3 linked regions of the Macaca fascicularis genome follow. The protein of the gene in region 1 purifies or fractionates together with the protein of each later gene. This does not show direct contact. Links are inferred from orthologs where the notes say so. Each region holds a gene or a part of one and is shown on either strand. Other genes may lie near its edges. The genes, in order: METTL9, SLC39A10 and SLC30A5.

The links.
Region 2: the proteins of METTL9 (region 1) and SLC39A10 purify together in Homo sapiens (co-immunoprecipitation; 3 studies listed by BioGRID and IntAct, with this or other methods). This does not show direct contact. The link is inferred for Macaca fascicularis from reciprocal best matches to the Homo sapiens genes METTL9 and SLC39A10.
Region 3: the proteins of METTL9 (region 1) and SLC30A5 purify together in Homo sapiens (co-immunoprecipitation; 3 studies listed by BioGRID and IntAct, with this or other methods). This does not show direct contact. The link is inferred for Macaca fascicularis from reciprocal best matches to the Homo sapiens genes METTL9 and SLC30A5.

Annotation. Positions count from the first base shown.
Region 1 is NC_088394.1:21,447,340-21,451,432, reverse strand, and holds the start of METTL9 (protein-L-histidine N-pros-methyltransferase), read right to left. Parts: upstream 2,934-4,093; 5' UTR 2,792-2,933; coding exon 2,627-2,791; intron 1,882-2,626; exon of another isoform or gene 1,847-1,881; intron 1-1,846. UniProt on the Homo sapiens protein: Protein-histidine N-methyltransferase that specifically catalyzes 1-methylhistidine (pros-methylhistidine) methylation of target proteins.
Region 2 is NC_088386.1:91,310,379-91,314,025, forward strand, and holds part of SLC39A10 (zinc transporter ZIP10), read left to right. Parts: intron 1-2,671; coding exon 2,672-3,647. UniProt on the Homo sapiens protein: Zinc-influx transporter. When associated with SLC39A6, the heterodimer formed by SLC39A10 and SLC39A6 mediates cellular zinc uptake to trigger cells to undergo epithelial-to-mesenchymal transition (EMT).
Region 3 is NC_088380.1:74,748,798-74,753,066, forward strand, and holds the start of SLC30A5 (proton-coupled zinc antiporter SLC30A5), read left to right. Parts: upstream 1-1,435; 5' UTR 1,436-1,702; coding exon 1,703-1,791; intron 1,792-4,269. UniProt on the Homo sapiens protein: Together with SLC30A6 forms a functional proton-coupled zinc ion antiporter mediating zinc entry into the lumen of organelles along the secretory pathway.

The sequences.
Region 1 (4,093 bases):
GTCTGGCCTCTGGGCCACTTCCCTGATCTAAGTGAAACCCTGCTTCTTGCTTGCCTAAAGTGAAACATAATCCCAGTTTTGAAGCTAGCACACCAAACCAAGTTACTAAAATGGCACTGCTACTACAGTTTTAGAGCAGCTTTAGCCCAAAGGAGCCTTGCCTCTCCAAACTACACTAACAAAATAGCAATTTTTAATGAATAAACATTGCCCAAGATCTCTCTTTTAACCACAGAATCCTCCATCATAATTCCTTAATAAAATAACCAGAAGGAAAACTTGCACTAAGTATGGTTCAATCAAATCCACAACCCTGCTTTTATGCAACTCCAAAAGAACCAGATGTGGCTGGCTATGGAACTCACACACCCAACTGAACACTTAGAAGACCTTGTATAAAACTATTAATCTGAAGGAGGAAAAACAGTTACAGTTATTTCACAAGCAACGAAGTTATAAGGCAAACACAGGATCCCGGAATATTAAGTGGAAAACAAATTATCAACTCAGCCACAGTGCAGAAAGGACAGTTTCCTACTTTATCTCATGGTGGTTTCTACACAGCTTTCTTCTGTTCATTTTAATCTTTATTCATGGACTATTATCTTCATAATATGAATGTATTCATGTCAAAATAATGTCTGGATTCATTATTCTAAGGAAAAGAGTTGACCCCTCCCCCAAATATTCAGAAAATACCGGATTAAGTCTTCACCCTAAAGAAATTATCTGCCCAGTTGTTAGTGAAGGGGTACACACACGCACGCACACACACACAATATAAATATAGTATCTGAAATAAATGTATCTGAAACCAGTATTAGTCTTCATTAGAACCTAACAGATTCAGCTTTAAAAAGGTCCACAATTAGAAAAGTATCCTCTGCTGGGAGATATTCTGAGGCTATGTCTACAGCTGTAATTCCACCTCCATACAAATCAGTGTTGAAACAGTGTTTCAATTTTTAAGATAAGTGCAATTCTTTTATGAGCAATGAAAACATATCAAGTGGCTGCAGGAGGGGTAATCATGATAAGTGTTATCATAAATACCAATAGCTAAGAGACTCAATCATAATCCCACATCAATGGAGATAAACCGCTTTTTCTCCTATCCAGCACCTTATTTCTATCAACTGCTTAAAAATGTTAAAAATGACATTTCTAATTCATTGTCTACACCACTGTTCCATATGTGACATTCTGATAACTGTACAATTAACGGTACAGTACTTTGAGTTGTCTCTATATGAACTAGTATAAGTTCATCATAAATCCATAGGAATAAATGTGGCTTTGTAATTTAAGTTCACGTACATTCCTAACCATATCATACAAGTGATCAATGATACTGATAATTGCATCTAACAAACTGCAGTGGCTGAAGGCTTTCAAAAAAATTTACAGAAATTTAGCATTCCTTTACAAATAGAAAAAAGTCCAATATAAATATTACTAAAAACGAAATGCTACTTTTCTAAATTGCTCTATCTCCTTCTTAGACAATTCTCTACCCTCATTAAAACACATGAAATCAACCTGGGTGTAAATTCTCTGAACACCTGGCATAATAAAAAAGTAACGTAGGAAAATGAGAAATATATGAAAATGATGAGACACAAGATGATATAGGGAATAATTAGTGATCCATGGAAAAGCAAAATGTACTATAAATGCTAGCTATGACAAGACAACACTCTGGCAGAGTTCAAAAGCCTCTTTTCAATGAATTTAACATTAACTGCAAACTGTGTTACGGTCAAATACGAAACATCTCACCTAATTCTACAGTTAACCTGTACACGTTTAAGTGGCACAAGACCGAGCTAATGAAAAGCCTACCTACCAGGTCACAGCGCAACGCTCACGATGCATAACTACAACTCCCTCCCGTCCCGTTCGGTTTTAAAAATGCTTCCTGTAAAACTTGCATAATCTTCCTCCTCATCACACACAATCTTTCCAGCAGGCTGACTAAATCCAAGTTTAAAGGAGATCTCTGCTAGGTAGGAGGGGAAGGTTCCGTAGGATGGGAGCGACAACCTGTCAAACCCATTTTTTAAGCGCTTAGGGGGAAATGTCACCCGAATCAGCCCGGAGAGTTCAATGGCTTGCGATGTACAGTTACATTTCTTTTACGACCCTTTGTACGTTCTGCGATTCATCGAGACAAAAAGAGGTGCTGGCTTTTCGTTTTGTTTCTCGGGGGTAATGGATCTGGCCGGGTCTCTTCAGTCTCAGGCCTCGGTGCCAAGCGGGCGCCCCCGGTCACGCTCTGGCCCCAAAGTTCCCCAGTCCCGCCGCCGGGTGTCCGCAGTCACCGCCCGGGACCCAGGAACAATGCGGGGCTCCGGGGCGCTCGCGATCGGGCCCGGGAGGGGGAAGGGGAGGCCATGCCCCGCCTGCGCCGCGGAACAAAAGGCGCTCGCGGGGCCGGGCCCGGGTCCCCGGGGCTCGCGAAGCCGACGCCCGGAGGGGAAGGCGCGGGGAAAACTTTCCGAGAGGCCGAGGCGGAGGGGCAAGGGCCGGGCCGCCCCCTCGCGGAACCGCCCCGCACAATAGCCGGGCCCAGCGCGGGAAGGCCGGGCCGCCACGCCCCCGCCCCGGCCCCAGCCCCGACCCGTACCTGGTCGTTCTCCTTCCTGCCGCCCGCGGCCGTCGCCGGCCCGCCCGGGCCGCTTGTCATGTTCACGTACAGGGAGCGGGTGAGCGGGCTCCGCAGCGTCCACATCCTCTGCGCCAGCCACACGGACGCCAGGCTCAGGCACAGCCAGCCCACCAGCAGTCTCATCGGGGGCCGCGGCAGCTCGCTCCGATCACCGCCGGCGCCGGGGCGAGGAGGAGGAGGCACCGCCGCCTCCGGCCACAGCCGCCACCGCCCGAGCTCGAGCCATCGCGTCCGACTTGCCCATCCAGCCCCCTTCAGGGCAGAGGCTGGGGGTGGGGAGGAGCAGCCGGCGCGCAGCCTCGGCTCCTCCCCCATCCCTTCCGACCGCGGAACGCCACTGCCCCCTGCACCAGTTTCTACCCGGAGCACTTACGAGCGGCCGCGGCGTTTTCTCTCCCGGCGTCCTCCCTCGGTCCAGTGAGCGGGCCGCTGGGAGGCGGGACAAAGGGAGCGCGCATCCGCCCGGAGGGCGTTCTCGTGTCCCGGCCCTGCCTCGGCCTCTGGTAATGGCGGAGGTGCTTTTAATTTTTTTGAGGCGTGAGGCGATCACTTCCGAAGGCGGTAACTGCAGCCCTCCTGCCCCTCTAAGGTGGTGCCGGAAGGACCTCTAGGCTTTCCTGGCCTTAGTCGTTACCTCTGGACCGTCATCCCACTCCACGGCGGGACTTTGACCGGGTCGTGCAGTTAACTCCGGGGGCGCAAAGAGGGGAGTCATTCCTTTTGTGCATCCTGACACACACAGGTTCTTCCCGGAGACGAATGCTGCCAGTACTGGTTACCCGCTCCGATGCGTAGTTTCCAGTTTGCATTTAGAACCGACCTGCTAGACTCCCTCCTCTCCTCTCCCCTTCCCACCACCACTACCCGCCTGCCCCGTTCCCCAAGCCTGAGAAGTTGCTGGCTACGTGTTTCTATAAGGAATGAGTGAAAATTCTGCCTTTTAGGGAAGCTACCGCAGCTTGGGTACCCACAAGTAATGTTTTAGATGTATTGATGGCCCTGCCCAAGAATGAAGACCTCAAGTTAGACTCCTTGGCTGACTTGTTTCCTTGAATTAACAAGGAAAGGTGGACCCAACACTCAGAGCGAACTCAGCTCTGGGAGCAGTGTTTAACCCGGATATTTATTTGATCAGTTATAGCACGAGAAGACCTAGCAACATTTCAGAACTGAAGGGTTAAGTACACTGTGTTCCTGTGACTGCAGTTCTTCCTGCTGATAGCCACGCCACAATTAAGGAGTAACATATTTCGTGGGGGTCCCTAACTTTAATACTTTACTAGGTTTGTTTGGAAAGTGCTTTTAACTGCACCAGAAATAATGTAAATGTGTCTAAGTTCAAAACAAAAGAAGTAAACCTTTTGGTTAATTCGATGTTGCGCATCAGAGATTTTCATTTATGAAACAGTGGGGTGGTGAGCCACA
Region 2 (3,647 bases), on another chromosome or scaffold:
AGATCCCTGAAAGAAGAAAATTAAAACCGAGCGTGGTGGTACACACAGCTACTTGGAAGGCTAAGTGGGAAGATCGCTTGTGCCTGGGAGTTTAAGGCTCCAGTGAGCTTTGATTGCGCCACTGCACTCCAGCCTGGGTGTCAGAGTGACATCCTGTCTCAAAAAAAAAGAAAAAAAAAAACCCACATAGTTTAGTTCTATTCCTTTTTACCTTTATATAAGAATTATACTGCTTTCTTTGTTTGTCACTTTTTTCCCAATATTTGTGAAATTCATCTATGCATGAAGCTGTAATTTCATTTTTATTCCTGTGTGATAGATTTTTCTGTTTCATTTATCATTTTATTGTTGATGAACATTTAGGCTTTTATCAGGTGTTTTTTGTTGTTGTTGTTGTTTGTTTTTTCTTTGTTTTTTTTGACCAGAGTCTGTCTGTATTGCCCATGCTGGAGTGCAGTGGCACGATCACGGCTCACTGCAACCTCCGCCTCCTGGGTTCAAGCTATTTTCCTGTGTCAGCCTCCTGAGTAGCTGGGCTTACAGGCACGTGCCACCATGCCTGGCTAATTTTTATACTTTTAGTAACAATAGGGTTTTACCATGTTTGCTAGGCCTGTCTTAAAGTCCTGACCTCAAGTGATCCGCCTGCCTTGGCCTCCCAGTGTGTTGGGATTACAGGTGTGAGCCACCATGCCCAGCCTTTTTTAAGTTTTGACTGTGGTAAATAATGGTTATGTGAATATTCATGATGGTATTCATGTACATGGATTTCTGTTGGGCATATACCCCAGACTAAAATTGCTGTGCGAGTGCATAGGCTTATTTTCAGCTTCTGGCAGATCTTGCCAAACAGTTTTTCAGAAGATACAATCTATAATCTTACTGTCATTGTACACAAGTTCCATTTAACTCTATATACTCTTGCCTACTTTTGATATTGGCAGTATTTTATATTTTAGTTCTTTTTATGGAGTATATAGTGGTGTCTAATTGTGATTTTAATTTGGTTTCCTGAAGACTTCTGAGCTGAACATCTTTTCATTTGGTTCTTAGCAGTTTGGCTGTTATGAAGTGCTTGTTCAAGTTACCTACTCATTTTTTCATTGGGTCGTCTTACTGTAATTTTCATTTGATGTGTAGAAGTTCCTTATATATCTTTTAATGTACATTGTGGTAGTCTTCTTCCAGTCTGCAGCCTGCCTTTTTAGTTAGGTTTTTGTTTTGGATGTCTCTTGATGAAACATAAATTCTTAATTTCAGTGTAATATATTATCAATTTTGTGTTCTTTCTCGAAGGTCTTAAAATTAGTCTTCCAAATCTTCAAGATCTGCACTTTCCAGTACAGTAGCCAGTAGCCACATGTGTCGATTGAGCACTTGAAATATAAATAGACTGAATTAGGATGTGCTGTAAGTGTAAAATACATGACAGATTTCAAAGACGTAGTATTAAAAAGAATGTAAAATATTTTAATGATTTTTATATTGATTAGATGTTGAAGTTATAATATTTTGGATATAATGGGTTAAATAGAATAGTATGAAATTAGTTTCATCTATTCTGGAAAACTTCAAAACTACGTAATTGGCTCTTATATTTCTAGATTCTTGAAGTATGCTTGTCCAATAGAACTATCTATAATGATGGACATGTTCTGTGTCTACATAGTAGACATTAGCTACATGTGGCTATTGAACAATTAAAATGTGGCCAGGGTGACTGAGAGGCTGCATTTTAAATTTAATTTTAGTTAATTTAAGTACCCATATGTCACTAGTGGCTACCATTGAACTGGACAGTTCTGGACACTTTATCATTTTAGCATTTCTTGTTTCAGATTTATGTTCACGAGCTATTAGCAATTGATTTTTGTAATAATGTGAGGTAAGGGTCAGATTTTATTTATTATTTCCTTTTGTGTGGAAACCTAATTGACCAAGCACCAAGGAAAAGACCATCCTTTCTGGTTTTTAGCTTTTGTCTTCTGTTCCTTTAGTCTATTTGTTAGTTACTGCACCAAATACCACAGCGTCTTTAATAATTCACAGAGTGAATGCTTCAATTTTGTTCCTCAAGGAACACATCTTAGCCATTCTTGGCCCTTTCCGTTTCCACATAAATATTAAAAACAGTTAATCAGTTTTCACAAAATAATTTCTGAGATTTTGACTGGGATTGTATTGGATACATAGTTTATCCAATCGTAACATGAAATAGCCATCCATTTATTTAGGTCTTTTATTTCTCCTAATAATTTTCTCTCAATAATATTTCTCTCAATAATTTCTCTCTTTTGTATGTAAAATTCTTGTATGTCTTTGGTTAGATACATTCCTAGCTATTTGCTACTGTAAATGTTACTATTTTTGAGTTTTGTTTTCTAATTATTGCTGGTGTATCAGAATATAATTTATTACTGTCCTTATATGCAGTAACTGTACTAAACTAACTTATTAATTCTTAAAGATTCTTTAAGGCATGCTGCATAATTAATTCTACCATTTGTGAATAATGACAGTTTCACTTTTCTCTGATTCTTAACATATTTTATCATGAAGGAAATGGAGTAAAACTTTTTTTAGTGGATTGGCAACTTCTAGAGAATTTGTGATTGTTTTGAATGTGTCTAGGTAGAAACTAATACTTGTCTGTCTCTTTAAATCTCTTTAGGAAAAATAGAAATGAAGGTACATATGCACACAAAATTTTGCCTCATTTGTTTGCTGACATTTATTTTTCATCATTGCAACCATTGCCATGAAGAACATGACCATGGCCCTGAGGCGCTTCACAGACAGCATCGTGGAATGACAGAATTGGAGCCAAGCAAATTTTCAAAGCAAGCTGCTGAAAATGAAAAAAAATACTATATTGAAAAACTTTTTGAGCGTTATGGTGAAAATGGAAGATTATCCTTTTTTGGTTTGGAGAAACTTTTAACAAACTTGGGCCTTGGAGAGAGAAAAGTAGTTGAGATTAATCATGAGGATCTTGGCCACGATCATGTTTCTCACTTAGATATTTTGGCAGTTCAAGAGGGAAAGCATTTTCACTCACATAACCACCAGCATTCCCATAATCATTTAAATTCAGAAAATCAAACTGTGACCAGTGTATCAACAAAAAGAAACCATAAATGTGATCCAGAGAAAGAGACAATTGAAGTGTCTGTAAAATCTGATGATAAACATATGCATGACCATAATCACCGCCTACGTCATCACCATCGTTTGCATCATCATCTTGATCATAACAATACTCACCATTTTCATAACGATTCCATTACTCCCAGTGAGCGTGGGGAGCCTAGCAATGAACCTTCAACAGAGACCAATAAAACCCAGGAACAATCTGATGTTAAACTACCGAAAGGAAAGAGGAAGAAAAAAGGGAGGAAAAGTAATGAAAATTCTGAGGTTATTACACCAGGTTTTCCCCCTAACCATGATCAGGGTGAACAGTATGAGCATAATCGGGTCCACAAACCTGATCGTGTACATAACCCAGGTCATTCTCATGTACATCTTCCAGAACGTAATGGTCATGATCCTGGTCATGGACACCAAGATCTTGATCCTGATAATGAAGGTGAACTTCGACATACTAGAAAGAGAGAAGCACCACATGTTAAAAATAATGCAATAAT
Region 3 (4,269 bases), on another chromosome or scaffold:
AGTTTCACAGGCAGAGTTTAAAGAAAATCAATTCTAAAAAAGAAGACAAAACAGTTTGCAGCAACACTTAACAAAATCCTCTTCCTTCTCCTATGTTCTGTCCTTACACACTTGGATTTCAGGAACTCCAACAACGACAGTTACCAGTACTCCAGGCCCCACACAAAAAGCCACAAAAGCAGTCACCTTCCTCAGTTATTTTATTTGATAGATGACCCCAGGCTCCCTGTGGCAAAGAAGAATCCTTTCTTTTTCTTTCTTCCCCCCGCCCCCCGCCCGCCCCCGAGACTTTCTTGCTCTGTTGCCCAGGCTGGAGTGCAGTAGCATGATCACGCCTTACTGCAACCTTGACCTCCCACGATCCTCCTGCCTCTCCCTCCTGAGTGGCTGGGACCATAGGTACATGCCACGCCTGGCTAACTGTTTTTTGTATTTTTTGTAGAGACAGGGTTTTGCCATGTTGCCCAGGATAAGAATGTTTCTTTAGAAATCTGGAAATTGCCTTTACGTTCCCTTAGGAGTAGGAGAGAAGGCCCTGAAGATTCGCACATGGTCACTCCTAGAAAATTGCCCTGGGATAGTTTGCTGAGGAGGCAAATTTTGGACAATACTAGTTTCTTCTCTTCAAAGTCCATCAAAGGCATTGTTCAAAAGAAATGGCTGTACCGCTATTTGTAATCGATTCTCTACAGCTTCAAAAATAGTTATCTCTGGTTGGGGGAAGGGCACCTGAACTTTTAAGACTTGAGGCCTTCTTATCACAAAAATGATCCATACTCACAAAAACCTAAGAGGCAGAGGGTATGTTAACCTGGATTAAGAATCCCTAGGCCGAGTGCGGTGGCTCACGCCTGCAATCCCAGCACTTTGAGAGGCCGAGGTGGGTGGATCACCTGGGGTCAGGAGTTCGAGACCAACCTGACCAACATGGACAAACCCCGTCTCTACTAAAAATGCAAAATTAGCCAGGCGTGGTGGCACAAGCCTGTAATCCCAGCTACTTGGGAGGCTGAGGCAGGAGAATCGCTTGAACCTGGGAGGCGGAGGTTGCGGTGAGCCGAGATCGCGCAATTGCACTCTAGACTGGGCAACAGGAGCGAAATTCCATCTAAAAAAAAAAAAAAAGAAGAAGAAGAAGCCCTAACGCAGAGGAAAAGATTGGTGAGCTTTGTTTAATCACACTGGCTGTACATTTTCGACGCCCCCTCCCTCTGCTCTGCAGGAATCCGCTGTACTTCTGACGGCCCATAGGTGGCACTGCAGGGACAGGAAAGTGCACCGGGAGCGCCAACCGGTGAGGCTGATAGGCGGCGGGGCTTCAATGCGCCACAACATGGCGGGAGGAGCCTAAGAAGCGGCGAGGAAAGGCAAGTGTTCCGCTTGCGCAGACGCAAGGCTGGGCACTCCCCTGGGAGTGAGGGTTGCTGGGCTTGATGACGTGGCTTGGCAACGTCCCTACTGGCGCTGCCTCCCGGGAACCTGGCGCCGCCGGAACTGCCCGCGGCCTAGTCCCGACGCGCGTGTGCTAGTGGGCCGGAGCCGGGGACAGCAGCGGCAGCAGCAGCGGCGGCCCGGCCTGCGGGAACCCGACGGGGCAGCTGCCATGGGGGAGTGACGCGCCTGTGCCCGCTGTTCCGCGACAGCGGCGAGACATGAGGAGACCCCGCGGCAGGGGCAGCGGCGGCGGCTCGTGAGCCCCGGAATGGAGGAGAAATACGGCGGGGACGTGCTGGCCGGCCCCGGCGGCGGCGGCGGCGGCGGCCTTGGGCCGGTGGACGTACCCAGCGCTCGGTAAGGGACCTATCCGAAAGGCAGCGACCGGCCGGGCCGCTCAGGATACACCTTCCCAGGCCTCCGTCCGGTCCCCGCTGACAGCCCGGGACGTCCCGGGGTCGGCGCGCCCGCTCCCTCTGCCTCTCTCCCTGCGCGCAGGCTGCCTCCGGGCTCCCCGGGCCCTTCGGGTGCCCGCTGCAGAATGAAGGCGCTAAAGCCAGAAAGCTTCTGCTTGAATTTCTGGGTTACAAGGCAGTCAGTCAATCTTAGAACTGCCCGCCAGATCAAGTGAGAGGTTTTTCTGATCTGTGAGAAGCCTTTCTCTTGGCTGTTTCTCCCTGAAATAGTCTGGTGACTACTTAATCTCTCTGACGTTTCCCTGCATAAGTTAGGGGAAGGTGTCACCATCATCTCTCGTCAGGCAACGAAACCAAAGTACATACGTGAACTTGGATGTTCAGATTAACCGAGCACATCGAGGGTCCAGCCCTATTTTCTTTTTTTATTTTATTCTTAAGTAAGAAATGTGTCTTCGTTGTCAAAAAAAAATCTAACCAGCACAGCAATTCATAGAGTAAAAAGTGAAAATTACCACTTCCTCTCTCCAGTTCTCCCACCAACCCCAAAAGTAAGGGACCAACAGGTGCAGCGACCACTTTCGAGTATGTCCTTCCTAAATTCTGAGATAGTGTCAAAGATGTACAAAATATAGCCCTGCAATTTGGCTGGAACTGTGTTCATTGCCTCCAATTTTAACGAGTTCTTCTCATTCTGGAACAAATACTTTCTTTGATATTTAAAGAAAGTGATAAATGTGATAAATTCTTTAGAACTGTAGTAATAACATTATAAAGTAACCTTTTGTTTTTTGTTTTTTTTTTTTTTGAGACGGAGTTTCACTCTTGTTGCCCAGGCTGGAGTCCACTCACCGCAACCTCCGCCTCCCGGGTTCAAGCGATTCTCCTGCGGCAGCCTCCCGAGGACGTGGGATTACAGACATAGGCCACCACGCCTGGCTAATGTTTTGTATTTTTAGTAGAGACGAGGTTTCTCCATGTTGGTGTGACTGGTCTACCTCAAGTGATCCGCCTGCCTCGGCCTCCCAAAGTGCTGGGATTACAGGCATGAGCCACCGAGCCGGCCCAACATAAGCATTTTTTATAAAAAGGAAAGAACACCACATAGGACAGAACTTAAAGCAACTGCGGCCGGGCGCGGTGGCTCAAGCCTGTAATCCCAGCACTTTGGGAGGCCGAGGCGGGTGGATCACGAGGTCAGGAGATCGAGACCATCCTGGCTAACACGGTGAAACCCCGTCTCTACTAAAAATACAAAAAAAAAAACTAGCCGGGCGTGGTGGCGGGCGCCTGTAGTCCCAGCTACTCGGAGGCTGAGGCAGGAGAATGGCGTGAACCCGGGAGGTGGAGCTTGCAGTGAGCCGAGATCGCGCCACTGCACTCCAACCTGGGCGACAGAGCGAGACTCCGTCTCAAAAAAAAAAAAAAAAAAGCAACTGCATTTTTGTAGCATACATTTAATTTTCTAATCTATTTAGAGCATCTCATTTTGTAAATAACAGCATATCAGATGTTAATTATTGAGACATGACAACTAAATGCAGTAGGCAATTCTGGTCTGATTTGGTAGGGGGGAAAAGTGCTTTAAAGGACGTTACTGGGTCAATTGACAAAATTGTACTATGGACGGTAGATTAGATAAAAGTATCATATCAGGCCAGGCGCAGGGGCTCACGCCTGTAATCCCAGCACCTTGGAAGGCTGAGGCAGGCGGATCACCTGAGGTCGGGGGTTCGAGACCAGCCTGGCCAACATGGCGAAACCCCGTCTCTACTAAAAATAGCAAAAAAAAAATTAGTTGGACGTGGTGCACGCCTGTAATCCCAGCTACTCAGGAAGCTGAGGCAGGAGAATGGCTTGAACCCAGGAGGCAGAGGTTGTGGTGAGCCGAGATCGCATCACTGCACTCCAGCCTGGGTGACAGAGCGAGACTCCGTCTCAAAAAAAAAAAAAAAAGCATATCACTTAAATTTCCTGAAGTAAACAGCTCTGCTGGTTTTATAAGAGAATGTCCATGTTCTTGGGAAAAACAAGTATTTAAGCATAAAGAAGCATGAAGTATGTAACTTACTCTCAAATAGTCCAGGGGAAAAACCTGTGTGTGTGCATTTAGAGAAAGAATAATAAATCACATGGGATGATACATTAACAATTACGGAGTCCAGGTAAAGGATATACTATTGTAACTTTTACGTAAACTGGAAATTATTTTTAAATGAGTAGTTTAAAAGTGTTATTTATTCAAGAGTGTAAAGAGCGTAATGTCTCAGGTAGGGAAATGTGGTAAACAATCCTTTGCTATTTTATTTGTACTATTTACTTAGCAGAGTTGCCCTTCTATTGTAGTTTATTGCAGAATCAAATTCAACTCAGAACTGGTTGAATTTTGATGAATTCCAGGTTGCAAGAGTTCTACTTT